3 linked regions of the Lytechinus pictus genome follow. The protein of the gene in region 2 purifies or fractionates together with the protein of the main gene of each other region. This does not show direct contact. Links are inferred from orthologs where the notes say so. Each region holds a gene or a part of one and is shown on either strand. Other genes may lie near its edges.

Region 1 (10,298 bases), on a different chromosome or scaffold from region 2:
TGAGTTTGCTATGCACTGTTTATTTACTTTACCATTATGAGTGTGTGTCTATACAGAGATTTTAAAAAAAGTCCACACAACCTGGGAACAATACAATTCTTTTATTCTCTTTCAATCATTTCATATTTACAATGATAGAACAATTTATATATTACCACAAATCAATTAGCAAAGTAAAATAACAGCAAACAAGATTTACATACAAGATGTACAAAGTGAAAGTAACTTAGTGGTAGTGGCTGCAGAATTAATATTTTATTCATTTTTTAATCAATGTTTTTCTTTATATTTTTCGGGCCACAAAACTTTAATATCGGGCCACTATAAAAATTATTTGAAGGTTTTGGTGGCCCGAACGGGCCACCACCAAAAAAAGTTAATGTGGAGCCTTGTCATATGTATAATTTTTTTATGTATTGCTACTTACCGGAAAGAGCCCCGGTGCGTAGCGAGAAGGAGTTTCGGCAAATATTACTTCAGCAATGAAGCGATGTTTGCCGACTACTTCGAAATCCAGGGTCAAACACGGTCCCTTGTACGACTGTTAGTATATATTAAGCTTGTAACCGATTTTGCAATCGGCAACCGATTCCATTCGATTTCACAACAATCGGCGATCACTTGCCGATCTTCGATCATGCCCCTTGAAGGAAAAAATCGGATATAAAAAAATCGGCATACCTGTAGACTAGATCTAGTTACAGTGCGGTCAGAACATATTTCAAGATTGTTCTTGCAGAGGTGCTAGCTATTTAGAGCTTTTTAACAATCGAATAGTTCGAACAATCGAGATTCCTAGAATGTCAGAAATGACTCATAAAAGGTTGACCTACTTATGATGACCTACCGGTAGCTGCGCTGACTGGTATGGCGGGAGTGTAACTTGGATTGAATGTATTGTATAATATACAAACAATGAACATGTACTTGTACTGTGTTTGTCATTTATCCCGCCCATGAGTGCACACAATGGCCAATAGCAATGGAGTTTGAGAGCTGTATGTGACTGCATGGGTGCATGAATGTGTTGTATGCATTATGTATGCTAGTGCTTATGCTGATAAATCCCGCCCATAAGTGAATACAATGGACCAATAGCAAGGGAGTTTGAAAGCTGTGTGTGACTGCATGAATGTGTTGTACGCATTATGTATGCTAGTGCTTACGCTGATAAATCCCGCCCATGAGTGAATACAATGGACGAATGACAAGGGAGTTTGAGAGCTATGTGTGACCGCGTGGGTGTAGGAATGTATTGTGTGTATTACGTATGCTAGTGCTTGCGCTAATTTTTGTCATAATCCCGCCCATGAGTGCACACAATGGCCAATAGCAATGGAGTTTGAGAGCTGTATGTGACTGCATGGGTGCATGAATGTGTTGTATGCATTATGTATGCTAGTGCTTATGCTGATAAATCCCGCCCATAAGTGAATACAATGGACCAATAGCAAGGGAGTTTGAGAGCTGTGTGTGACTGCATGAATGTGTTGTACGCATTATGTATGCTAGTGCTTACGCTGATAAATCCCGCCCATGAGTGAATACAATGGACGAATGACAAGGGAGTTTGAGAGCTATGTGTGACCGCGTGGGTGTAGGAATGTATTGTGTGTATTACGTATGCTAGTGCTTGCGCTAATTTTTGTCATAATCCCGCCCATGAGTGCACACAATGGCCAATAGCAATGGAGTTTGAGAGCTGTATGTGACTGCATGGGTGCATGAATGTGTTGTATGCATTATGTATGCTAGTGCTTATGCTGATAAATCCCGCCCATAAGTGAATACAATGGACCAATAGCAAGGGAGTTTGAAAGCTGTGTGTGACTGCATGAATGTGTTGTACGCATTATGTATGCTAGTGCTTACGCTGATAAATCCCGCCCATGAGTGAATACAATGGACGAATGACAAGGGAGTTTGAGAGCTATGTGTGACCGCGTGGGTGTAGGAATGTATTGTGTGTATTACGTATGCTAGTGCTTGCGCTAATTTTTGTCATAATCCCGCCCATGAGTTCACACAATGGACGAATAGCAAGGGAGTTTGAGAAATGTATATGAATGCTGGGTGCATGGATGTGTTGTATACTATGCTAGTCAATGCCCTGCTTAAATCCCGCCCATAAGTGCACACACGGCCTAGGTACGAATAATAGCAAGGGAGTTTGAGAGCAGTGTGTATGGATGTGTTGCGTGTTGTATGTATCATGTAAGCCATACTTGCAGTGATATATTGTCATTAATCCAGCCAGTGAGCCAACTCAAAGAATAGCACTGTTAGCAGTGTCAATTAAACCCACCACGTGCACATGCCAAAAGGTAGTGTAAAGAATTTTGCGCTAGCCCGTTGAGTCTGGGCGGTTCCAGTTCTCGGCTATGCCACAAAACTATCTTGTATTGTGTGAATGCTTGCGCGCATTGCGTAATTCACTGATATTGTTGAGTGGGTGGGTATACAAAAAGATCGATACTGAGGCGTGACTTAACTTTTCCCAGAACTGATTCGGAGAAATGATGTACCAAGTAAGCTATTATAACAAAATGGGTGTACTTTGGAATGGTTATTGGGCGTGGCTGTAATCACATATTATAATGAGCGAACTTAGCTGAGCTCAGCTTCACATAAAAATTCTTATAAAAGATGTCCCGCCGATCGTTCATTGACCTGTGATCTACGAGAATTATTTTCCTTTGCGACTGCTCGGAAGATGCGTCATTCGTTTATCTTTCTAATAAAAATCACTCATTTTATTGTTAAGCAGTTAAACCTCAAAACCCTTTAAAAGCATGTTCCAAACGATCGCGCATGTCGACTACTTCCATTCCTAAACATTCGTCTTTGTGACTTTGTCAGGAAGATGCGCGCGACCGCGAACAAAATGTTGATGTGTTCCTTTGTTTTTAAACATCGCCGATTCGATTTTCGATTCGATTTCGATTTTAGAAGCTTAACTGCCGATCCGATTTTCGATCTGATTTTTGATCCGATTTACAACATTAGTATATATAGTCACGTATTGTATTACTGGACACTATTATGATTCCGGACGCGCATATTACTGCGTTCTAAAACAAATTCGTACCGTAAGACTTCCGCAATTCAATTTCACAGAGCAATACATAGAACAAGATTGCAAAAACAAGGCGAAAAATCAAACTTTTACCTAATTATCTCTAAAAATGACAGAAAATGCTTCAAATATCATATAACATAGTTTTGTATTAACAATTGATATATTTTCTAACGGAAATATGGGCCTGATTTGCCGAATTTCAATCTCGTCCACTCCTTCGATCGAATGATGAGGTGTGGTGTATTGTGGGTGATCGTCGACGGCTAGTTCTCAAGGTACCCGTGCGCGAGGTTTACCGTGATAGCCGTCGATCGGCAGCGCATCGATAGAACTTGATGAGCGTCACGATACGAACGCGAGCATATTATTATTGGAAAGTGCCATGGAACATGCAGCTAACAAGACAAAATAAAATAAGTTATCAAACACAAATTTATTACCAACATCTGCTCAGATTCGATATAAAAAAAGCAAATAATACTTAGAATTTACTCATGATATGATATAAGAAGAAAAAAATCACAAAAATTTGTTCTTACATCATTAGAATCAAGGATATCTTTGCCCGTCCGGCGCGCGTCCGGAATCATGATGTAATTTGTCGCGCACGAAAATAATTGTTTTTCGTGGAGGGGTAGGCCCTATGCGGCAAGTGCGATGCAAAGAAAATGGTTGGTAAATATAAAATAATTTTATCATATTCATAATTTTCATAATATTTGGAATAGCAAGTGTGAATATTTCTTGATTGTATTTCCTCTAGTTGTCATTTTTAAAGCACTGAAATAAAGGTGTCCGGTAATAGGATACACTGCCATACTAACCTCGTATTAGTGTGAGTGTAAATGGGCCAACACTATTTGCTATAAATGGGCCAACACATTACACCAGGACAAGGCTTTCCGTTGATAAGGCAGAAATAACGTTAGATTTCAAGGGCAGATAACAAACTAAAATTGTCAGAATCTGCATGGATATATAAAAAAGTAGAAATAGCTTACTCCACTATCTGCCATATCTTCCCAGCTGTCCCATACCTCCTCTGAATCTTCCATTTCCGTCAAAAACAAATTCGAGTCGTCAACAAGAACTTCTTCTGCCAATGTATGTATACGGTACCGGTAGGTGTTGCCGAAATATCCAGTAGCAAAGAAAAAAAAATCTTTCTCAGACAGTCAGAGTGAAAAGCGAAAACCATAGATAATCTATCCTAAATAAATAAATAAATATGATCCGATGTTCCCGTTCTCAGTAAATGAAAAAGTACGTTTCTCTGGCGAATCCCCCCCCCCCACATTTGCATTCACGTAAAGAGGGATTTTAATTATAGGGGCTCCAGCTTTCCCGAAAATATTAATAGGGCCCGTTTACCTTAGTATTATTTTCTCCAGAAATAACTTTAACTTTTTTTTTAAATAACTTTGATGGTTTCTTTTAAAACCTTCCCAGAACAATCCTAAAATTTAAGGGATAATTTTCTAGCTTTTATTCCAAAATGTATCTCAAAATTATTCTTTTCACAGTAAAAGTTTTTCCAAAAAAATTTGCTGGGAAGACGACGATAACATTGTCAGGGTTTGTAAGAAAAAGAAGAGAAAGGAAAAAAATGTACAGAAAAGTAAAAAAAAGGAAAAGAGAGAAGAAGGGGAAAAGAATAAGAAAAGAAAAGAAAAGAAGAAAAAAATGAATAAATGAAATAAAAGAAAAGAAAAGAAAGAAAGGGGAAAAATAAGAAATAAAAGAAAAGAGGGAAAGACAAAGGAAAAAAAGGGGAAAAGACAAAGAAGAAAGAAAGATTGACAGAAAAGAAAACAAAAAAGGAGGGGAAAAAATGAAGGAAAATAGAAAAGAAAAGAAGAACGAAAAGTAAAATAGAACGAAAAAAAGATTGAAGGGAAAGAAGATCATTTCAACAAAAAAAGAAGCTCCAAAAGCAGTGGTAAGAAATGTTCATTTCTTGACTGGTTGCCAACCAAAACCAAACAAGAAGTTTGTGTGCGTGCGTGAGTGTGTGTGTGTGGGGATGTGCGTGTGGTTGTGGTTGTGTGTGTGTGTGTGTGTGTGTGTGTGTGTGTGTGTTAATGCGTTTGTTTGTAAAGTCTCAACGTTTAATGTGGCTTAAACGATTACTTTACGGAGAACGAGATGCAGGATGGAAGTTGTATTTTGATTTTTGTTTTCGATCAGTTGGGGGGAGATTTCTGTTTCTATGTGACTTTGACACTTCAAAACTAAATATAAAAATGCCCCCATTTTATTCAGAAATGATGAAGGCTTGGCAAGACTTAAGGAGATTTCGTTATTCTGAAGAGGAGGTTAACCCTATTATATTCAATAATCAACATATTTGTATAAAAGGTAAAACAATTTTTGACAATGATCTTTTTAATAAAGGAATATTTAGCGTTGATCAAATCTTTGATAATGGCCACTTGAAGCCTGTGACTTTTTTCAAAATCTCGGTATTACCGCAAATCAACTTCTCCAAATAATAGATATTGTGCACGTTATACCAGCAAGCTGGAAAAATTTTAATAGTTTAATAAAGTTTTAAAAAATTGATTTGGTAGACTTTGGGATAAGTATGAATATTGGAAAACAAGAAACAGCTTTTGAAGTAATTAAATCAAAAACAATTTATAACTTGTTTATTACTAAGCTACAAGAGCTATACAAGTTAACACTTAAGGACGTTCCACAGTTAAAGTGAAATCCATGTCATTTTCACCAAACTTTGCAAATAGATACTTTAGAACCTTAATATTCGAAATATGCAAAAATTAACATAGGTCCATGTGCTTGATTTTTTGCTATAGAGCTTCAAAGTTCACCCAAATTGAAGTTCTTAAGAAATGCGCATTCAAAAGAATTTGGCATTTTTAGACCGCCCAAGATTAATACAATGAGTTTAAACCTCCATTACTCAGTCAAAATACATGAAAAAGTCATCAATTTTCGCAAGAGAGTTAATAATTGTATCGTTAGAATGGAGAATTTTTTTTAAAGTGCTATTTGTTTGCAATTTTAAGTTTAATAGCACTGTCAGTTCTTAAAAATGGCGTAAAAGATAACAAAATCCCAATCTAAAAAATATAAAATTTCAGTAACAAACTACAAACGTACAATAAATGCTGCACTTTATTTAAAATCCATGTCATTTTCACCAAAATTTGCAGAGTTGTAGAGGAAGGTATACCTATGAGGTACAAACATTAAAAAATAGGGGTTCATGTGCTTGTTTTCAAACTATCAGCATTTTTATTAGAGAAAATGTGCTTTTTAAAACACCAACAATGCGCCGAATGCTTAGTATCTATGTGAAGAAAAAATCAAAACCACTCTACCATTTATTCAAACTCTGGGTAATATTTGCGATTCTTGGCAGCACTGCAGAGTAAAGTATTTTGAAATTGTAGAGAACATTTTTTGAATGGTCCATGGAATAATTCAATTTTTTAGCTTTATGAAATAACGCATCGTATCTGCAGTTAAAGTGCAGAAGATTAGAAAAATCAGCTCATACCCGCAGCTAATTAATAACCTGTTCATCCATTGTGACGTCAGCGCGCATAGTGTAAAATATGCGCACACCATAATGCGCACAAACATAACTGTGGAACGTCCTTAAGGATGGTCACAGTGATTTTGATTTTACTGATGTAGAAATTTGTAAATTATTTGAATATATCAGGAGTACAACTCTTATAAGAAAACAAAGGGAATTTCAGTTTATGCTTTTACATGGAGCAATATATACAAGAGAACATTTGATGAGATTTGGTTTCGTGGAAGATAATTATTGTTCGTTTGGTTGTACAAAAACTGAATCGTACTTTCATATACTCATGGATTGCATAAAAGTTAAACCTCTTTGGCAATTTTGTATTGATCATTTTTGTTTAGCTGAATTAAGAACTTTGAATTGGAGGGAAATATTCTTAGGGTTACCTGGAAATTCTTGTAGAATTAAATGTGTCAATTCTGTTATTCTTTTTATTAAATATGCAATTTTTAATTCCAGAGCTGAAGGCCGGGTACCGTCATTTATTAAAATACACAAATATATAACGGGTTGTATAGAAGAAGAAAGAGGCCTGGCAACGAAGTCAGGCAAGTTAAGTTTACATTTGCAGAAATGGGATGAACTGAAGGTGAAAAGGGATTTGAATGTGAACAGGTGGGATGTGTCTAGTGTGGTGCGAGTGTGAATCCTGGTGTGAATGTTGATGTTTTTTTTTTTCTTTTTACTAGTTCTTTTCAATTTCCCCTTCTCTTGTATCAATATGATTTGCAGGTTTTTTTTCTTTCTGTATCCTATTGCGCCAAAATGTTAAACGTTCATTATGCAGATTTGTATATATTATGTTTGTTTACGTATGCGTGGTATGTGCATGTGTGTAAGGGTGTTAAGGTGGGTGTGTGTATAATTATGTAAAGTTATGTTGAAGCTTGATTTAAAATGGGATGCAATGATAATACATTTAGGTTGATTTCTGTTTTCCTGCAAATCATTTATATAGCCATTTAACATTAATTATTATTGAAATACATAGAGGGTTGGGGACTCAGTTGAGTTATTTTTTTTTTTCAGATATAAAAGTATAATTTTAAGGAGTTTCATTTCGTCCTTATTTGCTTCAGTTCTTGGTAAATATATATGTACTTTTTTTGCATATCCTTGTTGATATGAAATGAAGATTTGTATTTTTTTTGTATTTATCTGCAGTTTATGTAATTCATTTGAATGAAATCCTTAATAAAAAAAACATATTGAAAAAAAAAAAAAAGTTTGCGTTTATGTCTGCAGAAGAAGTTTGCCTTTTTTTTGATAATACAGTTTTATGTTTTTTTTATTTTAAATTTTGTTACTATCTTTTTGGGCCATTCTCTACAAGCAATTTGCTTATCAACTATTGTTTAAACTTTTTAAAAGTATATAGTTTGAACAGTGTTTACAATTTTTGTTTAAAAGAATTGTTTAAAATTATGGGCCTGAACAGCGAGCTTAAAGTTTTAAACCGCAATTGAATAAAAAAATAATAATTTGCTCTTTATTTGTGATTGCGCAATGCTGAAACCACAGTATAGAGGTCTGTCGCTGAAACCCGGCCTGACGAAAGAAAATAAAGATGTAAAGCAGTCACTGGCCGGAGAGCATATGGCGGGATGGCGTGTCCTGGGGAGTGTTTCATGAAAGGACATGTCGGACGTTTTATCCGACAAGTCCCATTTTATCAGACAGTTACCATAGTTGCAGTGCTTGTCAGCCAATCAGAATCAAGGAAAGTTGTCGGATCTGACAACTTGTCAGACGAAAATGTTGATGAAACGCTCCCCGGGGCGCGTCCCCTACTTTTCGAAACATCATCAGGGGCCCGTTGCAGAAAGCTTTGCAATCAAACGCAATTCTATAAATCATCGTAACTTTATTTTTAACCAATTAGAAGCGCGCATTAAAGACTTAAGCTTGATAGTTTGATTTGCGTTTAAACGCAAAGTTTTTTTTTTTTTTTTTTTGCATCGGGCTCCAGTTTTATATTTTACCAATGTCTCTTATTTCACAGTAAAAACGCTTTCTAAAATCTTTTATTCAACACTGAACTTTACAGTATTTGTTTCACAGTGTAAAAGGATGTTTATAATTTTAAACAACCATTAATAGATATTTAACTTAGTTGTATAAGATTTAAACTGTTAAAAAACTTTTGTAAAGTTTAATTAGTAATTTTATATAAAAAAAACTATTGAAAATTGCTAATGTTGGAGACTGTCTAATTATTAGTGGCAGGTCGTTCCAGGATTTTGAAGCCGACACCGTAAAAGTTCTGTCACCAGCTAATGTACGAGTTAATGAATATGTGAGGCGAAGGTGATCACTGGCCGACCTAAGTGCTCTAGTTGGTGTATACAGATTCAAGCAGTTACTTAAATACTGTGGAGCCTGTTTATTCAGTGTTTTGTAGACAATCAAGAGTAATTTGAACGTAATTCTCTGTTTAAAAGGAAGCCAGTGAAGAGAATTAAAGAGTGGTTGGGAAGGATGATCTCGGGAAACCTGTAAAATTAATCGTGCTGCCCAATTTTGTAGTCGTTGAATACGAATTAATTGATTAGAGGGAATTGTAGAAAGGAGCCCATTGCAATAATCGATACGAGACAGAACCAATGAACGAACAGCATTGTGACAGGCAGACTGGTCAATGAACCTTCTGATTCTAGAAATGTTCCAAAAGTGACTGTGCTACAGATATGAGAGATATGGTACGACATTGACATGCGGGAATCAAATATGACACCAAGGTTTCGTATTTTTTCTGATGGTCTAATGAGTGTACCATGTTTAGAGCCTTTTTATTGAAGAGTCGAGTTTCTTCTTGCAATGATATAAATTAAGTAACCCCTTTTGAATTAAAATATCAAAGTTACCTTCAACGCCGTTCATTATGTCGTTTTCACATCTGACAAATTGCGAAAAAAAAATTGTTTTTGTTTTTGTATTTTCTTAGTCGTTCTTACGACTTACTTACTCGTTCCCTCGAGTTATGAAGTCGACGGAACGAGTTATGGTATAACGAGTAAGTAAGTGCATAGTGAGAACGGTTATAAGTCAAGGGGACGAGTTATAAGTCGGGGGAATGAGTTATATAAGTCGAGGGAATGAGTTATATAAGTCGAGAGAATGAGTAGAGGGTACTATAATATAGGCGGATCCAGAGGACCGAGGGGCCCGCCCCCCTCTATTGGCGGAGCAAAAAAGGGGGGAAAGGGGGAAAGAAAAAAAAATAGAAGGGAAAAGGGAGGAGAAACTAAAAGAAGGGGAAACATAAGAGGAGGAAGACGGGTGAATAAAATAAGATGAGGGCGATGAGGGTAAGACTTGGAATATAATAATAACAAAAATCTTTCATGTCACTATATAAAATTTTGCTGGCGCTTCGCGCTGGCATTGGTCATTTGCATATCTTGCTTAATATATGGAGCTTAAAATGTCAAATTTTTTAAAGTGAATATACAAAAACATATTTCAGCTAATGCTTGGAAATAGAACTTTCATTATTTTGTTTGATTCACAAATTGGTTTTTAAAAGGTGCTCTGTAAGAAATATTGTTTTATGGTCTGAATATTAACATTTTCTGCTCGCGCTGCGCGCTCGCAAAATTTGAATCGTCAGGTCTATTATTTTCCTGTATTCCATAAAGTTCTCAAAATATCCCTAGT
Region 2 (10,188 bases):
ACCTTGGCGGCAAATAAAAATGTGATAAGCAGATTCCTCATGACAAATTACCCCTTTTCACCATCTACTTTAAAAATTCACCGTCTACTTTTGTTTTGATAAGGATTTTTGTTGTCAATCACACACAAAACAAATGGGCTTCTGACCTCAGTGAGACAAAACTTTGGGTGGAAAAAATCATGCTTTTGTTGGTGTTGTTTCTTTTGTCCTTTTGCAAAGCAAGTCTCCAATGTGGGACATTGTCTCCCCTATTGGAGAGAGTCTCCCATATTGGCCGTGCGCCTCTACTGCCCTAATTTTATGATATTTTGTTTACTTTAACGGACGAATGAAATATGTTTGCAGATAATTTATTTAAAATGCGTTTCACATGGTGCATCATAAAAGATGGGCGACACAAAAGACGGTCCTTGCAATTGCAAAGACCCTTTCGTGCAATCGGCCCCTGGGCTCCGGCCCGCGAAGCGGGCCGAAGCTCCCGGCCCGGTTTAGGCCTGGCAAAGCAGCCCGGATCTCTGGGTGTAATTAAAGCAACGTACCGCTTGAACTGACTGCTCCCTGTTTGCTGCACCCCACAGCTCAAAAGAAGTGTTCGGCAAATTCAACGTGTCACTGTATCTCCCACTTTTATAACGTGTTGGAATTTCATGGAATTTCAGCAATCTACAGCAATATTTTAATCGTTGAATATTGCGTGTTGCTTCCTTGAAAAGTAACATTTTCTCCGTGGTTTCAGATCGGAAGCAAGAAGAAACGTGGGGCCGATTGCACGAAAGGGTCTTTGCAAGGACAGTCTTTCGTGTCGCCCATTTTTTATGATGCGCCATGTGAAACGCATTTCAAATAAATTATCTGCAAACATATTTTATTCGTCCGTTAAAGTAAACAAACTATTTGTTTATAAAATGATGTGATATCTCACAAAGTTGTATAAATTTGATTTAAAAGCAAGCTTACGAATTGTATTTGTTTATAATAAATTTCAGAAACACCCCGCTTATAGCGCATCATAAAAGATGGGCGACACGAAAGACGGTCCTTGGAAAGACCCTTTCGTGCAATAGGCCCCTGGGAATCGAGCAGCCGGCGAACCAGTGTAGTATGGAACGCGAAGTGTCGCAAATTAAAGGTCAATGCTAGTTTTGGTAACGATATCAAAATGAGTTCGTACAGAATCCAATGAAATCAAATGACCACCAAAGTGTCTGTTTGTATAAATAAAACGTATGTGCCAAAGGATTCTGGAAGAAATTGTGTAATTGCTGAGAAATCAGCAAATAAGCACAGGATTCGGGTAGAGCGGCGGCCGGGCCCGACATTCAAAGCAATAATTATACACTGTCCCACGTGTTATCTGTGTTGGGGATCTTCAGTCTGAACATTTTTCAGCGTAGATTTCAAGATTTCACAAAGTTCAGTTTATGTAACTGTACCAGATCTAGATCCTCAATGATATACTGACAATTAAGCCTTGTTTTACAGACTAATTTCTCATGAAATCAGTGTTTACTGCAAATACTGGAATTTCTCTTTAATGTAAAAACGATAAAGGAAGAAAAAAAAATTACACCCCCTTTGAATAAAAAAATAAAACACATAGAGAAAGAGGACAAACAGAGCGTCCTATTAATACTGTTTAAATAAATACATAAAAGGTCGGTGAACAGTAAGTTCACAGGCTGATGATTTCATATCCCGACTTACTTTTATTTTTTACTTTGTCGGGCCCCGTTGCATAAAAGTTATTATCATGGTAACTTTGCCATCCAATTTACCATGCCGGGCTACCAAGGTATTAGGTAACGTTAATCAACAGCCAACCAAAATTAAGGATTCCATGCAAGTTACCATTGGATGACAAAGTTACCATAATGATAAATTTTATACAACGGGGCCATGAAATTATATTTATTCATTTTTTTCCTCCAAGAAAGTAAAACAGGATTGAATTATATGATTTATTTCATATATTTGAAGCTTATTTTTGTAAAAGGTTCAGAGACAAGTTTAACACATACTGTGAATATAATGTAAGATAAGAAAATTGAAAAAAAAATAGGCCACCTATTCCAGATTCATTATGACGAAAAATATTTGATAATGCATAAGATGTGTATAGCGCACCCGGATAGCGCACTTTCAATCTTGATTAGATACTCAAGGCGCTTCAGAGCAGAACAACAAAAAGGCTATATTTATGTCTGAATAAAAGGGTCAATTGCTATATAAAAAAAATACTCTTAAACAGCTATATGTTTTCAGGTTGCCCAAGACAGTGGTCACTGAAGTCTGGGTTTTCAAGCTCCGGATTTTTTTTTCCGTTTGGGTCTGATGTTGCCATTAATGATGAAAATTAAGTGGCCCATGACTGCCACGTAATAAACCATAATTAGATTAATAGTAGGCCTATACAAGGTTTTACATCAAGCTAATTAAATATGTATTAACGCTATTCTTAAACTGTCCATGTTGTGAGCTGAAGGGAATTTGATCAATTGATCAATATTTCGGTGTTTTGCTTGTCGAATTTTATTCTATTTATTAAAATCTATAGATTTTGTCAAGATAGTAATTTGCTGCAGAACGGTATTTTTGTGTGCGGGGGGGGGGGGGGGGCTGCATACAAACACAATCGGTAATTTATCCCCATTTTTACATATACAGTTTGAAACTTGGGGGCTTATGCGACCCCCACCCCACTTACCTCTAGATATATTCTGTGTTTTACTCTCACAATTGTCGATCTTGATGTCTTTATATATGTGGTAAATCGTGAAAAGGGCTTGCCCCATTACATTATTGAGACTTTTCAGGAAATATGAAAGGATTTTTGACCAGTATCATGCAATTTGTTTCATGAAACAATCAATGGCCCTGTCCGGTAACCAGCAAAAAACAATTTATTTTTTTTGGGCTCAGAAATTGTAACACGTGTCATTGATGCGAAAATCAAATGAAAGGGTAATATCCTTCTTCGTGATGCAGTCAGGAGCAAATTCTCAGCACAACCGTATACGCAGGTCGTAATCCTTTGGGGTTTTTATCATTTTTTTTTTTACTTGATTTGATTTGATTTCTGCATTGAAATTAGAGACAAAAGAGTCTGTGCAATATAACATTTTCAAGGGTAGTATGTAACAATAATAATTTTGAGAAAAATGAAAATATTATCAACAAAAAAATGTATTAGTCATTTTGCCCGTGATCGATCGAGCGATTAAGCTATAAGCTTATAAAGATGGCGACCTCGTTTTTGGCATTGTCCTGACATTTCCATTGATTTTGTGAGTAAAACGTCGGTGGCGATGCGACTCGAATAGGGGCGACGGAACGGGGGGGGGGGGGGGGCAAGGGCACTTGCCCCCCCCCCCCAAAAAAAAAAAAAAAAAAAAAAAAAAAAATCCCCATAGGAATAAAGGTGCCTTTTTCAAAATAAAACACTTTTTTTAAAGTAATATAATAACGACAATAATGATGATGATGTTTATAATAACAATAATGATAATAATAATAACGATATAATAATAACGATATAATATAATAATATACCAAGTAAATTTCAGCGCCTTGAGCACATAATCAATGTGGATTTGGCGCTTTACAAATACTTTATGAGACTATGATATCGATGCATGCCAATTGATCACTTATCATCAGTATAGAAATAATTTCAGCAGATTCAAGATGTTAAAAGAATGTTCGTTTCCGGCACTTACATGTATATTATCGGTGAGTGATTCCTCTAATTTGAGTCATATTTTTTAGAAAACAAGTATCAGTAAAAAAAAAAATCAACTTTTTGGTTGGTAGGTCGGGTGAAGCAATATATTTGGGCGTAGCATTTCTTCCCTTTATTGATTGATTGATCGCTTTCATTTCTGCATTATATCAGATATAGGTTTACAATAAGTGTAAATTAACATATAGTTACAGTACATGCATTGGATCAATGGTAAAAGGCGATTGCAGCACAAGGATGACATGAAGGCAGTAGAAAGCCAATAAATATATTTCTTTCAGAGATTTTTCATTTTCTGAATATTCGTTCCCGAATTTGAAGAAAACGGCGGCCGTCAAAAAGAATATTCCGATAATTATTTTGAACATTAAGGGGAAGTTCACACTGGAGAGAAATTTGTAGTAAAATTAGCAGAAAAATAATAAAACACATCAGTCAATGAAGGTTTGAAGAAAATTCATTCAAAGATTAAGAAAGGTATTACAAATTTATGTTTTGGATTTGTGACGTCATAAACGAGCAGCTATATAGCTGTCCAATATGTTATTACTAAAATGCATGAATTTAAAATTTTCAGTGGTTCTTGATGACCGTAATGTGTTTGTTTTCTTTTTAGAAACGGAAGAGAAATTATTAGTCTATTGCCATACCGAAGGTACAATTAACCCATAGGGTTACCCCTTTTCAATTTTCTGAAAATGACATTTCATTGATTTTTTGCCATATACGATATGTACTAAATTTGCTCGAATAAAAAAAAATCAAATAACTACAATTCTAATAATTTTTCTACTCTTTGATTGATTTTCCTCAAACCTTCGCCAATATTTATTATCATTTTTTGAAATAGTTTTACAATAAACTTTTTGTCAAAGTTTACTGTCATTCAACCCATACTCTTTTAAAGGTCAAGTCCATCTCAGAAAAATGTTGATTTGAATCAATAGAAAAAAATCAGACAAGCACAATGCTGAAAATTTCATCAAAATAGGATGTAAAATAAGAAAGTTATGAAATTTCAAAGTTTCGCTTATTTTTAACAAAATAGTTATATGAACGAGCCAGTAACATCCAAATGAGAGAGTAGATGATGTCACTCATTCACTATTTCTTTTGTTTTTTATTGTTTGAATTATACAATATTTCAATTTTACGAATTTGATGATTGTAGGACCTCCGCCTTGCCTGAAGCACAAAATGTTCAAATAATGTAATTCCACGTGTTCAGGGAGGAATGACACTTCATTTTACATGACAATGACGAGAAAATCAAAATATTTCATATTTCACAAAAGAATTGTGAGTGATGTCATCAGTTCCCTCATTTGCATACCGACCGAGATGTGCATATAACTGTGTTTTGAAATGAAGCAAAACTTTAAAATGTCATAACTTTCTTATTTTATATCCGATTTTGATGAAATTTTCAGTGTTATGCTTGTTGAATTTTTATCTTTTTATTCAAATCAAGTTTTTGTTGGGGGTACCATAGAGATATATACGTAATTAATTAGTATCATAGAGATGTATACTAATTACGCTTATTAGTATATATCTCTATGATTAGTATACATCTCTAGCTCTATGGGGTGGACTTGTCCTTTAAATTCAACGCCCTCTAAGTCTATGTTAAAAATAAGAAGCGGAGCAGATGCAGAGCCGAAGAAAGAGGGCAATCCGGTCAATTTTACTGGTTTAATTGAAAAATTGGTAAGTGTAATTAATAGCTGAGGAGTAAATTTATTAAAAAATTGTCATAATTAATCCAATATTAATGAAAGAGACGTTTTAATCAATCCTGTATGGTGGTAAATTTATTATAAAAATGTCAAAATTTTTCGTTCAGAACTTGTCTTAACTTTACTTTAGTTTAGTCCCAGCTGTTGTAAAATTTGTTGTTTTTATTTTGTGACATATGGGGCCGCACGTCTTCGCATTTATTTTAAACTCATGAAAAAGGGAATTTCTTAGCATGAATTTGTTTGAAATTCCACAAGTATTGTTCATTATATTCTCAAGAGTAAATGTGCTGAAAACATCAAATTTACAGAAGAGTTAGGCCTACCTGCCCAGAAAAAAAGGCAGAATTAGGCCTAGGCCTACCAGTAGGGTGTCTGAAGCCACACTGAAAAGTGTCAGCATAAAACGGGCTAATTTAGGGGAAAATATGGCACATTTTTTCGGGGAAGTTCAGGCTACTAGAAAAATGTGATCTGAATTGATTATTAACTTGTGTTTGGCATGTATGGAAAGAGAACATTCAGGGGCTTCTTTTGACAGTAAGGACAAGTTTATATGATCATTTTAAATAAGGATTTAGAGATAAATTGCAAACCCTTATTTTTGTGTGTGTTGAAATTGCCATTTCTCCATGCGTTTTCAATGGGAAAATGAAATTTCTGTTTTGCACAATTTTTTTCACTTTGTCGCAATTTTTCATTGTGATCTGGTTTCCAAATCTTTATAAAAATCATACCATCAGATAGAGCATAAAAAATCCTATTGGACTCTTTATGGACAAGTTTTTGGCATTAATGATAAATTTATAACAGCTCTCGGAAGCTAAAAATTTGGATTTGTGTGTGTCCATTTCTTAACTACACAGTCTATGGCAGAGAAATGCTGAAAATTTACCTAATTTCATTCTTCTTTTTTGCAGCCAATAATTGTTTTTTTTTCAAAAATTATACATTTCTGTCAGTCTGAAGGTCATTTCTCTTCAAATTCACAAAGAAAATGTAATATTTTCTTGAAATAAGAAAAATACTTTTTTTCTCCAGACACCCTACTACCAGTATACCCAGTTGTTGTGTGTCCGGACAGGTTGTGTGTCCGGACGATCAATTTTAGAAAGTCATTTGGAAAAAATTACAAGCGAAGTTTCATCAAATTTTAGTACAAAATTTTAGAAAATATTATAGAGAACAAAATGGAAGATGATTACAACTATTGAATTCATATTTTTAGTGAAATCTTAAGACAAAAAAGAAGGCTTCAAAAATATAAAGTGTCCGGACACCCGATCCCCCATCCTACCACTCCTAGTACCAATGAGGTCCAAACATTAACATGTATGGACCTCATAGGCGACATTACCCAAATTATGGGTTGGACAATGCTGTTCTGATTTCCAACCCAAGACTTTGGTAAATGTACACCTTAATACAAGTTAGAGTTATCCGATATACCTTTCATTCGGACGGCAAACCTTTATTTAGTTGTAAAAATAGTTGAAATTAAAATCGATTATTGTTAAACTTACATTTCAGGCCCTTTTTGTTGATTTTCGGTGAGCGTTCCACACAGCTGCGACGAGTGATCAACTCCGAAGTGATACGCGTACTGGTCAGCTGATCGGTCAGGTGATCGGTTGGTTATCTTTTTGTCAGACATTTATGTTAAGCGTATCAATCTTCAGTATCTTGATTTCAAAGCATCAGTATTGCAGAGAAAAGTCATTATTGATTGGAATCAGTGGCGGGGGGGGGGGGGGGGGGGGGGGGGGTTGGGGTGAGCATTTCTGCCCGTTCCCCCTTTTGAGATTTATAGTAAACATTTTGGAATTAAATATGTTATTAATACTAGTTATGTGCCCCCCCCCCTCATGAGAATCACGTACAGCATTATTTGTAATGGGGATATTTCGTTCATATTCTTGTCTCTTTTTGGCCTTTTTTTTTAATTGCCAAATTCAAAATTTTACTGGTAGTCAGGTCCAGATTTTAAATAATATGCTCAGAAAAAGTGCTTTAGGCATTTTGTGTTAATGCTGATTTATCAATCGTTTTAAGGTAATTCAGGGGTGCTGAATCCAAAAATGCTGTTTGCCAAACTTGATTCCGACGTTTTCATCCTCAAATCGGCAAAAAAACAAAATGGCGGTATTTTTAAAACAATTTCCCATATTAAACGATTTTTATGGGTGATTGTATTTCAGAAATTGGGATCTATGCGAAATTTTCAATACCCAGGGTTGCAAACATAATGGTTCCGATTAAATGATTCGTCAGCCATCTTTAATTTCAAGATGGCTGCCATGATTCACAGCTGCTGATTGATAAATAATATGGCCAAATGTTTGATAATTTGGGGGCGATGCTGGCATACTCACATTGTGATATCTTTAACGTGTCCGCCATCTTTTCCTTGCCTGCACAGCAGAAGCATGACATGGACGTCGCTTTTCCGACGGCGGCGATGACCATGGCGGCGGTGAAATCAACATCAAATCTTAACCGGGGTTAAGTTTTTGAAATGTCATAACTTGTAGGATATAGATGTCTTTTTCATGAAACTTAGGCATGTTAGGATTAAAATAATCTATTGAGACAGGTAGTATAGTTAAAAAAGGTCGTCAAGGTTACATGGAAATCCAGCATGACGTCCACAACGGCAGCCGTTGTACCATCAACTCCAAAAATAAAGTAAATCCTTAAAATCAAAACCACCAAAAAGCTTTCAAGGCAAATAATGAATGAAGACAGGTTTACAAGATAGTGAGTGTGTCAGCGAATCCAAGATGACCTTCCAGACTGACGTCTATAATGGACGTCTGGACATTGTATCTTTGAAATGGTCCAAATTCATAATATATACACCTGGTAGAAATACCTTTGGGGTCTACCGAGAATGATATAAAACATTAAAAAAAATCATGGTTCCAAAGGGAAAAAATTACATCGGAAAATTTTCAAGGTTTATCAGTGGTGCAGTTTTGCAAAAAAAGTGATGATGGCCTAAAAATAGTTATATCTTAAAAATCTAGCTGCACTGAGTGCATATACTATCTACCTAGAAACATTTTTGTGTCTTCCTCATGGTTTCAAAGTTCAAATGATATAGGAGAAAACGAATTACATGGATACACCGTCATTTTGTAAAAAAAAATGAAGAACGCTCCAAAAATTACATTCGAATTGGCCACCATTAATACAAAAATGACAGTACTTCATATCCCATCTAGTGCCACTATTTTGGTGTCTCTGTTTTTAAGACTCATCCGAAACACAAACCTTAAAAACTAAGGTACACTTCGCCTAAAAAGTTCCATAATTCACTATAAGTATTTCAAAACATGTCATTTATGTGCTTAGGACCATCCTATGGTTTCAAGATTAGGGGACATAAGTCATTTTTACGCAATTTTAGAAGTCGCTTTGGACTTTTTACGACAAAAAGAAAAACTGACCCTTCTTTTTATTTGTCCCGATTTATTATTTCAGCCTTCAAACCACAAATGTGTAGATTTTGTTCACCTAATTATGACTATGTTTAGGTGATGGAAGTCTTTTTAGACTCATTTTGAAAGCGATCTTTAAATAATAGGTAAAATAGGCAGCTTCATGCCATTGTAACTAATCAAAACTTATTTAACCCTTGAAACCGTAGTGTAGACACCAAAATCATATCTCCCAGATGGATTCTAAATAGATTATGTCAATTTTTAAGTACAGCTCAGCCATTTAAGACTCCTTAATTGGAAGCCATCTTGGATCTTTAGACATACGGGACCATTGATTGCCCTTGTAACTTATCCTTATGTATTACTTGACCATTTAAACCAAGGTTTAGACAACATAATCATACACCCCAGGCGGATATTAAACAAACTATGTCAGTTTTTAGGTAATAATAGCCATTTTAGACTCCAATTTTGGAAGCCTTTTTGAATTCCTGGACATGCTGGACCTCTGGCTGTCCATGTAACTTGTCCTAATTTATTACTTGACCCTTTAAACCATGGGTTAAACCCCAAAATCATATACCCCAGGCTGATATTAAACAAACTATGTCATTTTTCGGTAAGAACGGCCTATATAGACTCCATTTTTTGAGCCATCATGGATTTTTGGACATACTGGAACCACTAACTGGCCTTGTAACTTGTCCCAGTCTAATACTTGACCCTTTAAACCATGCTTTATACTAGTTAAAAGATCATATTCTCCAGGCGATTAAATATTAAACAAACTATGTCGGTTTGTAATTAACGACAAACATTTTATACTCCATTTTTGCAAACCATCTTGGATATTTGGACATGGAGGACCATAGACTATCTTTGTTACTTGTCCCAACGTATTTATTGACCCATTAAATGATGGGTTAGACACCAACATCATATCCCCAAGGCAGATATTAAACAAACTATGTCGGGTTTTAGGGTTTTTAGATAACAGCTATTTTAGACTTCAATTTTTAAAGCCATCCTGGATTTTTTGACATAGTGGACCGTTGGCTGTCCTTGTAACTTGTCCCGGTTTACTTCTTGACCCTTGAAAATCACCGATGAATAAAACCGAAATAAAAGACACTAAAATAGATAATAGATTAATTGTGAATTTTTAGGCCATGGCAGCCATTTTTACGCAATCTTTGATTTTCAGGTACCCTGGAGTGCTTATGTTCACTCTTTCATTTCATCCCCTACACCATTGAATACATGTATG
Region 3 (11,066 bases), on a different chromosome or scaffold from region 2:
GAGGTACGGAGTAATTGTCATAAGCATCCTACTAAAGCTGCAAAGTGCTCCAAAACAGCTTTAAATTTTGAACATTTTCTCATCTATTCCAGGGGCGGATCCAGCCTACGCCAATAGGGGGGCCGGGGTGGAATTTTTTTAGCCATATTTTCCCCGATCGGCCGCTCGAAGAAGATTTTTTGTTTCTTTGAAGCAGTGGCGTAGCTACGGGGGGGGCATGGGGGGGCACGTGCCCCCCCTGAGATTTGGTGTGCCCCCCCAGGTGCCCCCCCTGAAAAAAAATGGCAGAGCAAAAAAAACAAGAAAACAAGGGAGAAAGAAGAAAAGAAAAACAGAAAAGAAGGAGAAAGAAAAGAAAAGAAAAAAAGAAAAGGAAAATAAGAGGAGGAAGAGGAGTGAATGAAATAATGTACGTGAGGGGAAGACTTGCAAAAATAATCTTTCATGTTACTATATAATTTTTTTGCTCGCGCTTCGCGCTCCCATTATTGAAATATATACCGTCTTCGTGGGTAACTGTAAGCAGTCCTTAAAGGGTCCCTTTTTGACAATGCTAGAACAGTTAATATAAATTTCTGCTCACGCTTGGCGTTCGCAGTTATCATCTAGTTACATACGAATCTTGTTCAGGATCATACATAACATTTCCCAGAATATTAAATTTTCAGGACAAAATACATGAAAGTAAAAAAAAAATCGCTCGCGCTTCGCGCTCGCACTTTTTATAAGGCTTATGAGATTATTTCATGTTTATGTTGTTTTATAAGAATAATACTAAGAAGTGACTGATCGGGGAAAATGTAGGTGAAGATAATTTCGGGCCCCGTCCCCTATTGGCGATAGTCGGATCCGCCCTTGTGCATACACACACACACACCGGAAAAAATTGTGCCCCCCCCTGAAAAAGCAAGGACCCCCCAGTGCCCCCCCAGGAAAAAAATCCTAGCTACGCCACTGCTTTGAAGGGGTAGTTTAATAGTCATTTCTTAGCTTTATTCCTATAAATCAACATAAATATATAATATCATAATCCTTATTATAATGGGAGCGCAAAGCGCGAGCTACTTTTTTTTAAATTCTTATGTATTTTTCCTAAAATTTGAACATTCTGGGCAATTTTTGTTGTCCTGAAAAAGATGTGTATGCAACTAAATAATTACTACGAACGCGAAGCGCGAGCAGAAATGAACTGATGGAAAATGTACCTGTTAAAGACTGCATGCACTTTTAGCCATGAAGACGTTACTTATTTTAAAATTCAAATAATGCGAGCGCAAAGCGCGAGCTAAAATTTTTTGAGGTTTTACACAAAGAATGGATTTTCTAAGCACTTTTTGTAACTTAAACAGAATAGGTTTATAATTAAACAATTGATGCGAGCGCGAAGCGCGGAAATTTCGAGATTTAGACCTACTGAACGAAACACTCTATCATGTTTTGTAAATCATGAAAAGGATGAGTACTTGGGGATCTTAAATGATGAATTATGTAAAGTGTCTACTTGGTTCAAATGCAACAAATTGTCTTTAAACGTAAACAAAACACATTTTATGCACTTTAAACATTATAATACCCATGCAGTTAACGAAGAAATAATGATAAACATTGACAGCGTCACCTTACAACAAAAACAACATTCAAAGTTTTTAGGAGTAACTATTGATGAAAATTTATCGTGGAATAATCATTTACGCCATATCACCACTTCCGTATCCAGAGGTGTTGGGATCATTTCCAAATTAAAATACTTATTACCCCCCAAAACTCTTTTTCTTCTTTATAATGTCTTGGTTTTCCCTCACATATCATATTGCAACATAGTTTGGGGTAACTGTGGTAATACAAAACTTAATTCGATTTTCTTTTTACAAAAAAGAGCAGTTCGTATTTGTACAGGATCACAGTATCTCGCTAGATCTAGTCCTTTATTTTTTAAATTAAGAACTTTCAGATATAAATACATATCAAGCTGCTATCTTCATGTTCAAATACAAAAAGGGAATACTTCCCCCTTCCTTTCAAAATATGTTCACAATCAACAACACCATTCACTCGTATCCAACACGAAACTCTGACAAATTTCATCTCACAAATCCAAAACTAATAATAGCACACAAATCAATTAGACATTACGGTGCAGATTTATGGAACAATTTGTCACCTGAAATTAAGTTATGCTCTACACTTTATTCATTCAAGGCTGTTTTGAAGAGAAATACACCGTTAAAATATAATACCTAAAATTTATGTGTGTTACGTACCAACCGATATTACAACCCTCCCCTGCACTTGCACTCTCGCACACTTGCACTTTAACTTTTATCAACATGATTATAACTTCCTCATTTTAATTTTTCTTTCCCTATCTACTTTTTTGGTAATATTTCTATTATTTTGTGCAATAAAATATAAGTCTCTTTTAATGCACTATTTGTCTGATTTTCCTTCCCCTTTCCTTTTGAGGCCTTTATCAATTTCAAGCTCTAAGCTTAAGATGAAGGTCTCCCACATTTCAAAATGTATTATTGTTGATATATGTATATATATATATATATATATATATATATATATATATATATATATATTTGTTTTTTCTGCTATTTTTTTTTAACAATAAAAAAAGAAGAAATTTATCAGGTATAAGTATATTTCAATTAGATTGTATATTATGCATATGTTATTAATTATATCATTTGCTTATTATGTTATGCTAAGAAAAAAAATGATTACACTTGTATATGCTTTTTTTGGAATGTGGAAATAAATAAATCAAATCAAAACAAATCTTCCTTACATTAATAACGCGAACGCAAAGCGCTAGCAGAAAATTTTTAAATATTTTATTTTATTTATTTATTTCCGTTTTATTTCAACAGGGTAGCCCTTTCAGTTACAAAACCGCTCTACCAATGGGCCCTGTACAATAAAAAACAAATACACATAAATAACAATTTACACACAGAAAACTTAAAACTATATACTTAACTACAAATATTTACTCAAGTAAAATCACATTAAATTGAAATTAAAAAAGTAAAATCACATACAAGCAGAGTATTCATATTAAGTTTAAATTAAATCTAAAATAACACAACCATAATATTTACATTAAATCAAAGTTAATACTGCTTTTTAAAATTCAGAGTTAAAAGTTAAAATTCTAGATTGTTTCTTAAATATGGGAAAAGATGTTATAGTTTGCATATTCTGGGGTAAACTGTTCCATAGATTTAAACCATAAAAAATGCAAAGATTTCTTGTAATACTCTGTTCGAGGTGTTTTGATTTTTAATGGGCAAGAATGTGCATATCGAGTTTGAAAGTTGATATCACGATAAACAATATTTTCCTTTAAATATGTTGGAACTGAATCATTAATCAATTTAAACATGATGAGGTAGGTCTGATACTGTTGTCTTTGTACAATGTTTTGCCAGTTTAATTGTGTGCGAAGAACATTGGAAGGTATTGAAAAATCAGCATTAAAAATCAAACGAGCATACTTGTTTTGAAGTTTTTGTATTTTCTTAATATTGCACTTCCTAGTTCTACCCCAAATAATGATACCGTAATCAATATGTGGCAGGATTAATGCATTATATAACATGATTAATATATTTTGCGGAATATTTTGCTTTATCTGTCTGATACAACCAATTATTCTTGAAATCTTCGTAAATACGTTTTGAACTGATTGAAAAGGTACCTGTTAAGTTCGATCTGCTTGCACTTAGCCATGATGACGCCACATTTCAACAATCAAATAATGGGAGCGGGAAGCGCGAGCTGAAAATTTTAACATTTCTACATAAAGAATGGAAAATTTTGATCAATTTTTGTAATCATGAACAGGATAGCTATATAACTAAACAATTGATACGAGCGCGAAGCGCAAGCTGTTGAAAAATCGAGATTTAGACCTAACAACGGGACATTCTATTCATGTTTTGTAAATCATGAAAAGAATGAGTAATATAGGGGATCTTCCTAATAATGCGGGCACAAAGCGCGAGCAGAAAATTTTTGATATTGTGATCTTAAACTGGATAATGATTTAAATAGAGAACAAGTTGAGTATCTGAATAAACATGCGCGTGCGTGTTTCATATTTAGACCTAGAATATAGGCATTCTAAATTCATCTTTTATCATGAAAATCAAAGCGAGCGTGAAGCGCGAGCTTAAACTATTTGATATTCCGATCTGAAAAAAGAGTCGATTTCAGCTCTATATTTCAAGCACTTTGTAGGAAAATTGCGAGGTGGATATGGATCGCACTTAATATAGAGCTGATATTTTTCATTATAATCACTTTGAGGTTTGACATAGGACCGGGACATCCCTAGGACATGTCATCATATGAAAATGATGACTGTCTTCCTATTCCTCTTGCTAAGCGCGAGATGAAACAAAAGGAACAATTCAATTATTAAATTAATATCTTATTCATTAATGCCTAATGAGGGCGCGAATCTGATGATATTATGGCCTGAAAACTGGACATTTCAAGCACTTTTATATAGTTATAAATAGGATGCATCAGTTAATTTATTATAACCATTAATGCTGGCTCAAATTGCATGCGAGCCTAAATTTTTTATACACTGTCATAGTTTAAATGTTGTATAATCAATATTGAGACATACATAACTCACTAATCAAAATGTGAGTGTGCGGCGCTAGCTGATACGTTTTGACAATCGGACCTGAAAAGGGATATCTTGAAAACTTTATGGAATACACGAAAATAATAGGTACCTGATAAATCGAAATTTGCGAGCGCGCAGCGCGAGCAGAAAATGGTAACATTCAGACCATAAAACTGACATTTTTACAAAGCACTAAAAAAAAATTGTAAATCACACAAAATAATGAAAGTTCGATTTTATTCTCTTGATAACTTTTACCATCTTCACCATGTTCACTCTTTTTAAACTGTTACACCTGTATCGAGCAACTTTTTGATCAGGCCGGGCGGCACCAGGAGGATTTAATAGGCGGAAGATGGCCTACATTACGTCAAACCCCCGTTTGGAGAAAGACCGCAGTTCAGATTGCAAACTGCGGTTCTATACCCCATTTTGCGTTTGTAAATCCCAAAATCATTTCCAAGCCCAGGGGGCCGTTTCATAAAGCTGCTCGTAAGTTAAGAGCGACTTTAAGAACGACTGGTGATCCTTTCTCGCGCGCTAGATCTTCGCCAATGGTGTGTACCATTTACCGCAAGACAGGATCACCAGTCGCTCTTTATTTACGAACAGCTTTATGAAACACCCGCCTGATCAATCCCGCTAGGCCAGGTAATCCCCGCTGTCTCAATTTTACCTCCACAGGCCAGATTATGAGCGTTGAGCCAAGGACGAAATGATAAACAACAGCTGTGCTATTACGTAAGACTTCTCTGCCTGTAGTAGGACCTTCGGAATGAAATTATTGTATTCGATATTTAATCACGTTTTCAAATGCATATTGTATTCAGAAATCCAATGTTAGTCCATTTTCAAGTTCGAACGAAGAAAATCGACCTCGAAATAAGGAAAGTAAGTGAATTAAAATGACGGCATGCTTTGCTCGGGCTGTTGTGTTATCTTCGGACCGAGGTCAAGAAACAGGTGTTTTGATACTTAAATTGCTTGCTTGGGGCAGTTATGGTTTGTCGTACCAATAGGTCCATGGTCGTACTTGGAGAAGAGAATTGATTGAGGGAAACTGGGGTATAGTGTTTTCAAATGAAAGGTTTTCGTCATGTATTTGACCTTATATTTTCAGTATAGTGGTAATATAGAACATAGGTTGGTTGGTTTGTTGTTGGGTAGGCCTATATGTGTCGCTGGGCCTTGTCCGGGGGGTTGAGGCTAATTGCCACGTGGCCGGATGAAATTAATGTAAATAATTTCTGGTTGAAAACCTTTTTTTTTTTGCTCGTCAAATTTTCTTCATGTGTCCCTCCCCCTGCTTCTGCTCCAAATTCCTTTCCTTCAAGCTTTTTCCTAGTCCTGGCTCCCTTTCTTCCTTTTTATATGCTGTGGACTGTACTTTAACGGATGATGATGATGATTTATTTGTCTATGGCTGCACCCAGGCTGCACCCCCCCCCCCCCCCCCCCCTCCTCCTCGGCCTCCTAGCTCTGCCTCGGCCTCGCACGCGTACGCGCTCGCGCGCGTGATGCACAAGCTTCCAGTAATGCAAATGGCGGAGGCGAGGGCACAAGTGCTGTTGTGCGGTGTTGAGCCTGAGGTGAGAAAAATAAAATTGAAGTTTTGTTTTGAATTAAATAGACTCTACGTCCTTTGCTTCAAATTTAGATTAATATATTTTTAAAGTATTTAAACTATTTAATTTTGAACTTCTTCTGTTCTTTCGAAACAAATGATTTGTTATTTCTTAGGCCTAACAGAGGCTAGACTATTTTTCTTGTTCTCTGAGTCTGATTCAGTGATTGAACTTTGAGTTTGAAGCCAATTCGGCGCTAGCTGATGTAGCTTTCATCATGGCGTTTATTGCAATAGATTAACGTTAATTTAAAGCCGGGTTTTAAGCTAGACAGGAATAACCGTCGTTTCTGTGGATTTATTTAACAATTTCTGACATTTTACTATCACCCCCATGTATTGGTGAGTGAGCCAAGTTAGCCAACGCAGTTCAGCGGAACAACCAAAATACAGAGACTGAATGAAGCTTTACTTTAGTTTTGCCTAATTTTAAACTAAGACTAAGTCTACCTCAAGTCACTCATTCAATCAATGAACAAGGTTATGATATAACCTCGTTCTCAATTATAATTATATCTCCATGTGTGGCAAAATAAGGATGGCAATGTTTGGCTTATTTTCTCTTTTTCTTTGGGACAAATGGTGAAATGCTTGATTTTTTTACACTGACAGTTTCCATTACACCTATTCGTCATTACAACTTGGCCCTTTGGCTTTAGTAAATTTGATTCTTTAAATTATTTTTTTTCTTAATTAAAAATAGAGATAAAAAAGAAAATTTTCTTGCCATATTATTTTCCACCAATAGAGGGCGAACACAAAAATATGCCAAAAATTCAAGGTTTTGAGCGCTCTAGTGAATACAAAAATTATTCCCAAGTTACAAATGAAAAATAAATTGCAACTGTATGGAAATTAGTAATTTTGGTCACAAAAGTAATATTTTAATCATTTTTTAAAGTGTGTGCTCTTTACAGCATTGGCATGCCATAGTCCAACCTGTAGGCTGTAGATTCCCCACAGGCAGGGTGGTTGCAGTGAACAAGTGCCTCGAGTAAAGTTTGTGCAGGCTCCACCTCACTACCACTACCGCTACACTCCACCTACCCGAACTTCTACACCCGTATTTCACTCCGTGTCCATCCTCCGGTTATCCTCGAAATTGGTGATTTTGGGCCAGTATCTAATTCCTCACACGTATTATTCACTGCCAATTTCAAAACATCGCATGCGATCGGTCGCAGGTCAAACAGCATAAATATTTATATTATATTGGATGGCTTAGAAAATACCAGAAATATTCTAAGTCTAAGAGTTTGGAAAAATATTCCACGAATCAGTGGAATATTTTTCACCAATTTTGAGGCGAACCGGAGGATGGACACAGAGTGAAATACGGGTGTAGAGTAAGAAATTAAGCTATTTTTCTTTCACGTTATATATTTTTTCTTTAATTTTTACAATAAATAACTTTTTGATCCCACCTTTGTCACTCGGAATATCAGATCGAGTCCACGGTCCCGAAGTTCATGTACAGGTGGAGTGTAGTGTAGCGGAAGTGGAGTGGAGGCTGCACGAACTTCGCTCGAGGTAGCTAAACTTAAAGTCAAATTCGCTTGACCGAATTATCCTAGCCAGGTCAACATGGACAAGGCCAAACTAAAGCCTTTTTCGCTGGTATCATGATCTCAAAATTCCATGACCATGACAATTGACTAACGTTAGTGCATGCTCAGCTGAAAAAGTATCATAAAAAAGTGTATGGCAAGTTCCCCCAAGCACAAGTCTACGTCTGTGTAGTCCCCCTTGTCTGCGTACATGCCTATCTGCCTGATTCTAGAGTAAAAGGAGCCCAGGAGTCGACCGTGCAAAACGAGAGAGACACTGGGGTAGATTGGGGTCTCAATAGTAATCTTAATAAAATGTGGAAACATAAATCATGCACTTACTACGATTATATCGATGAAGATGAGGTCTATCGTGACATACAAATCCTGACATCGAGGCACAGACTGGAACCTAAAAAAACCTGAAAAGTTCTGTCGCTATACCTCTCATTCTTTCAAAATTCAAAACAAAATGGCCGATCGAGAGCGAGGCTATATTCTGGTTTTTTTTTAGGTTCCAGTCTGTGCCTCGATGTCAAGATTTGTGTGTCACCATAGACTTTCATCCACATAATCGTGGTAAGTGCATAATTTCTGTTTCCACATTTTATTAAGATTACTATTGAGACCCCAATCTACCCCAGTCCCGTGTCTCCCTCATTTTGCACTGTCGAAGATACGCAACGAACACAAAATTTACACATGCAACACATACCAGTGGATGTTCATTAAAAAATCTGACTCAAAATGGTGGGAAAATAATGAGTTTTGGGCATTTCATGTGACGGCCTCAAAATGCAGCCTTTCTCATCAAAATACCTGAATCGTGTGCAAAGTGAATGGGTGCGCAGACATGGGGTACATTTTTTTTAAATCTGAAAATGACTGCCTGAGGTTCTTTCCAAGAAAATCCTATATTTCTTTCAAATTTTTATGAGATATTAGGTACACTTACTTATGATAATATAAGAAACATAATTAATTGAAAGATTTTGTGAAATAAAAAGAAATTAATGTTAAATCTTAACTCAAATCGTTAGGTGGGACCACCATCATAACCTTAATTTGTGCATGATCGTTTTGCAAAGAGACTTTTAGCCGAAATTGAGGGATTCGGCATAGGTCTATCTAAGCTCATAGAATGTGAGTGGGTCAGGTCATTTCTTGTTGGTCGACAGCACTGTGTTTGTGTAAATGGTGTGTTCTCTGACTGGGCTGATGTAACCAGCGGAATACCGTAAGGGAGTGTACTTGGACCCCTGCTTTTTGTAAGGTACATTAATAATCTGCCAGATCAGATTTTGTCAAGTAGTGTTTATTTATTTGCAGATGACACCAAGTTACATGTATACAAGCATGAAAAAAATGATAAAGATGCTGAGTTACATGTATTAGAAGGGGACTTAGATTGTCTTGTTTCACGGTCTGACAAGTGGCTATTAAAGTTCCACCCGGATAAGTTTTAATAGGTAAAAAGAATGATGAATTTAATGACTATACAATGACACATGATAATGCCTCACATATATGTAATCTATCACAAGTTGAAACTAGTAATGATTTAGGAGTGATAGACGACACAAAGCTTAGTTTTGACCAGCACTTTCAGTTAAAGATAGGCTAATGAATCTAATTAGAAGAACTTTTTGTCTCGCCCACCAGAGGTGAAGGCGAGACTTAGGGATCCAAATGTCGTCCGTCCGTCACAAACCTTATGACATATAACTCCACAACCGTAAGTCGCTTTTCAACCAAACTTGGATGGTAGATGGACTTTGGGACCTGCATGTTATGCTGCAGTCGGAGGTCACATGGTAAGGTCAAAGGTCATTTTCAGGTCAACGTTAAAGTTTTCATGCAAGACTCTCTTATGACACCTAACTCTGCAACCGTAAGTCACTTTTCAACCAAACTTGGATGGTAGATAGACCTGGGAGACCTGCATGTTATGCTGCAGTCGGAGGTCACATGGTAAGGTCAAAGGTAATTTTCAGGTCAACGTTAAAGTTTACATGCAAGACTCTTATGGGCATTTTCACCACAGATGGACACAGAGGCAAAAAAATCAAATTGATATTTATGTCAAATGCTTTATGTTTTTTAATAATACAAGACCTGAAGTTTCTGGAACAATTTTTTTTTCCAACTGTGGCAGCCATTTTTTATTTCAAAATGGCCACCAGAGTATGGATACAAATTAGTGTTGAAAATGGTATATTGATACATATTTTGTTCTGACAGATATTAAAAGAACAGGTTTGATCATGATATTTTCCCCCGTGATTTAGCTTGCTATTATAACTTTTTATAAAATCCCATAAAAAGAATCACCAGTAATTCATTTATCTGATAAAAAAATGTTGATGAAGTATGTGATATGGTATGTAACGTCAGTTACCAAAAACATGAACTTTTTTTTTTCATTTCCCAGATTTCCTCCTTAGGTAACACCCCTCCCTTCTACACCAAAATAAAAGATAATTAACAATCAAGCCATAGGGTACCATAAAATATGTGTAACGTCAGTTACCAAGTGGAAAATGTAATGTCAGTTACCGAGATGTAATGTCAGTTACCATGATAAAACATTATTATCAATAGTGAAATGCAAATTTGGTCAATTTTATGGTGAAGAAATATTGTATACTTGTTATTTAAGCCTTTCACTGTCTTAATTAAATCACACCAGAAGGAGCTTGCTATTGACTTTTAAAAGGTATAGTTCACAAGGAATACTATATAAAATTATGAAGAAAGTTGCATTCCCATCATGCAAAAAAAATTACTGTGAAATTGCATATGTACATACTTACCAAGTACCTAGTTTGTATCAGACAAAAAGTATTTTTTTATTTTTCGGTTTTCGTGGGGGAGGGGGTACTTTTCCCAACCTATTGCCTGAATCTGCAACATTTGATAAGCTTAACATTGTAATGAATGGGAGTTTCCAGGGCCCCTTTTTTAGTTTCTAGGATTCTTTTGAGCATTGCCGGGCTAAAAGTAAATTCCTGGTTTTTATACCTGTTAGTAAGGTAGATGTGTGATACAATTTTTGTTTTTGGTTTAAAAGTATAGATGAAAAGTGAAATTTGATAGTTCTGATCCAGGGAAAAAATTAATTTTTTTTTTCGGGGGCTCCATTTTTAATTTTTTGTAAAATTTCGGGGGCTCCATTTCTACCTTTCGGGGGCTACTTTTTGCATTTCGGGGGCTCTTTTCAAATGCAACTTTTTTGTATTTTGAGGAA

What was found.
Region 1: the proteins of serine-threonine kinase receptor-associated protein-like (region 2) and SUZ domain-containing protein 1-like purify together in Homo sapiens (co-immunoprecipitation; 3 studies listed by BioGRID and IntAct, counting the BioPlex papers as one, with this or other methods). This does not show direct contact. The link is inferred for Lytechinus pictus from reciprocal best matches to the Homo sapiens genes STRAP and SZRD1.
Region 3: the proteins of serine-threonine kinase receptor-associated protein-like (region 2) and cold shock domain-containing protein E1-like purify together in Homo sapiens (affinity purification with mass spectrometry; 3 studies listed by BioGRID and IntAct, counting the BioPlex papers as one, with this or other methods). This does not show direct contact. The link is inferred for Lytechinus pictus from reciprocal best matches to the Homo sapiens genes STRAP and CSDE1.

The regions. Positions count from the first base shown.
Region 1 is NC_087258.1:17,652,893-17,663,190, forward strand, and holds the start of SUZ domain-containing protein 1-like, read right to left. Parts: upstream 4,191-10,298; 5' UTR 4,135-4,190; coding exon 4,081-4,134; intron 1-4,080.
Region 2 is NC_087263.1:1,586,434-1,596,621, reverse strand, and holds the start of serine-threonine kinase receptor-associated protein-like, read left to right. Parts: upstream 1-5,336; 5' UTR 5,337-5,449; intron 5,450-7,008; exon of another isoform or gene 7,009-7,108; intron 7,109-10,188. Other genes in the region: isoleucine--tRNA ligase, mitochondrial-like, read right to left, coding at 540-827. UniProt on the Homo sapiens protein: The SMN complex catalyzes the assembly of small nuclear ribonucleoproteins (snRNPs), the building blocks of the spliceosome, and thereby plays an important role in the splicing of cellular pre-mRNAs.
Region 3 is NC_087247.1:53,964,256-53,975,321, forward strand, and holds the start of cold shock domain-containing protein E1-like, read left to right. Parts: upstream 1-6,152; 5' UTR 6,153-6,237; intron 6,238-11,066. UniProt on the Homo sapiens protein: RNA-binding protein involved in translationally coupled mRNA turnover.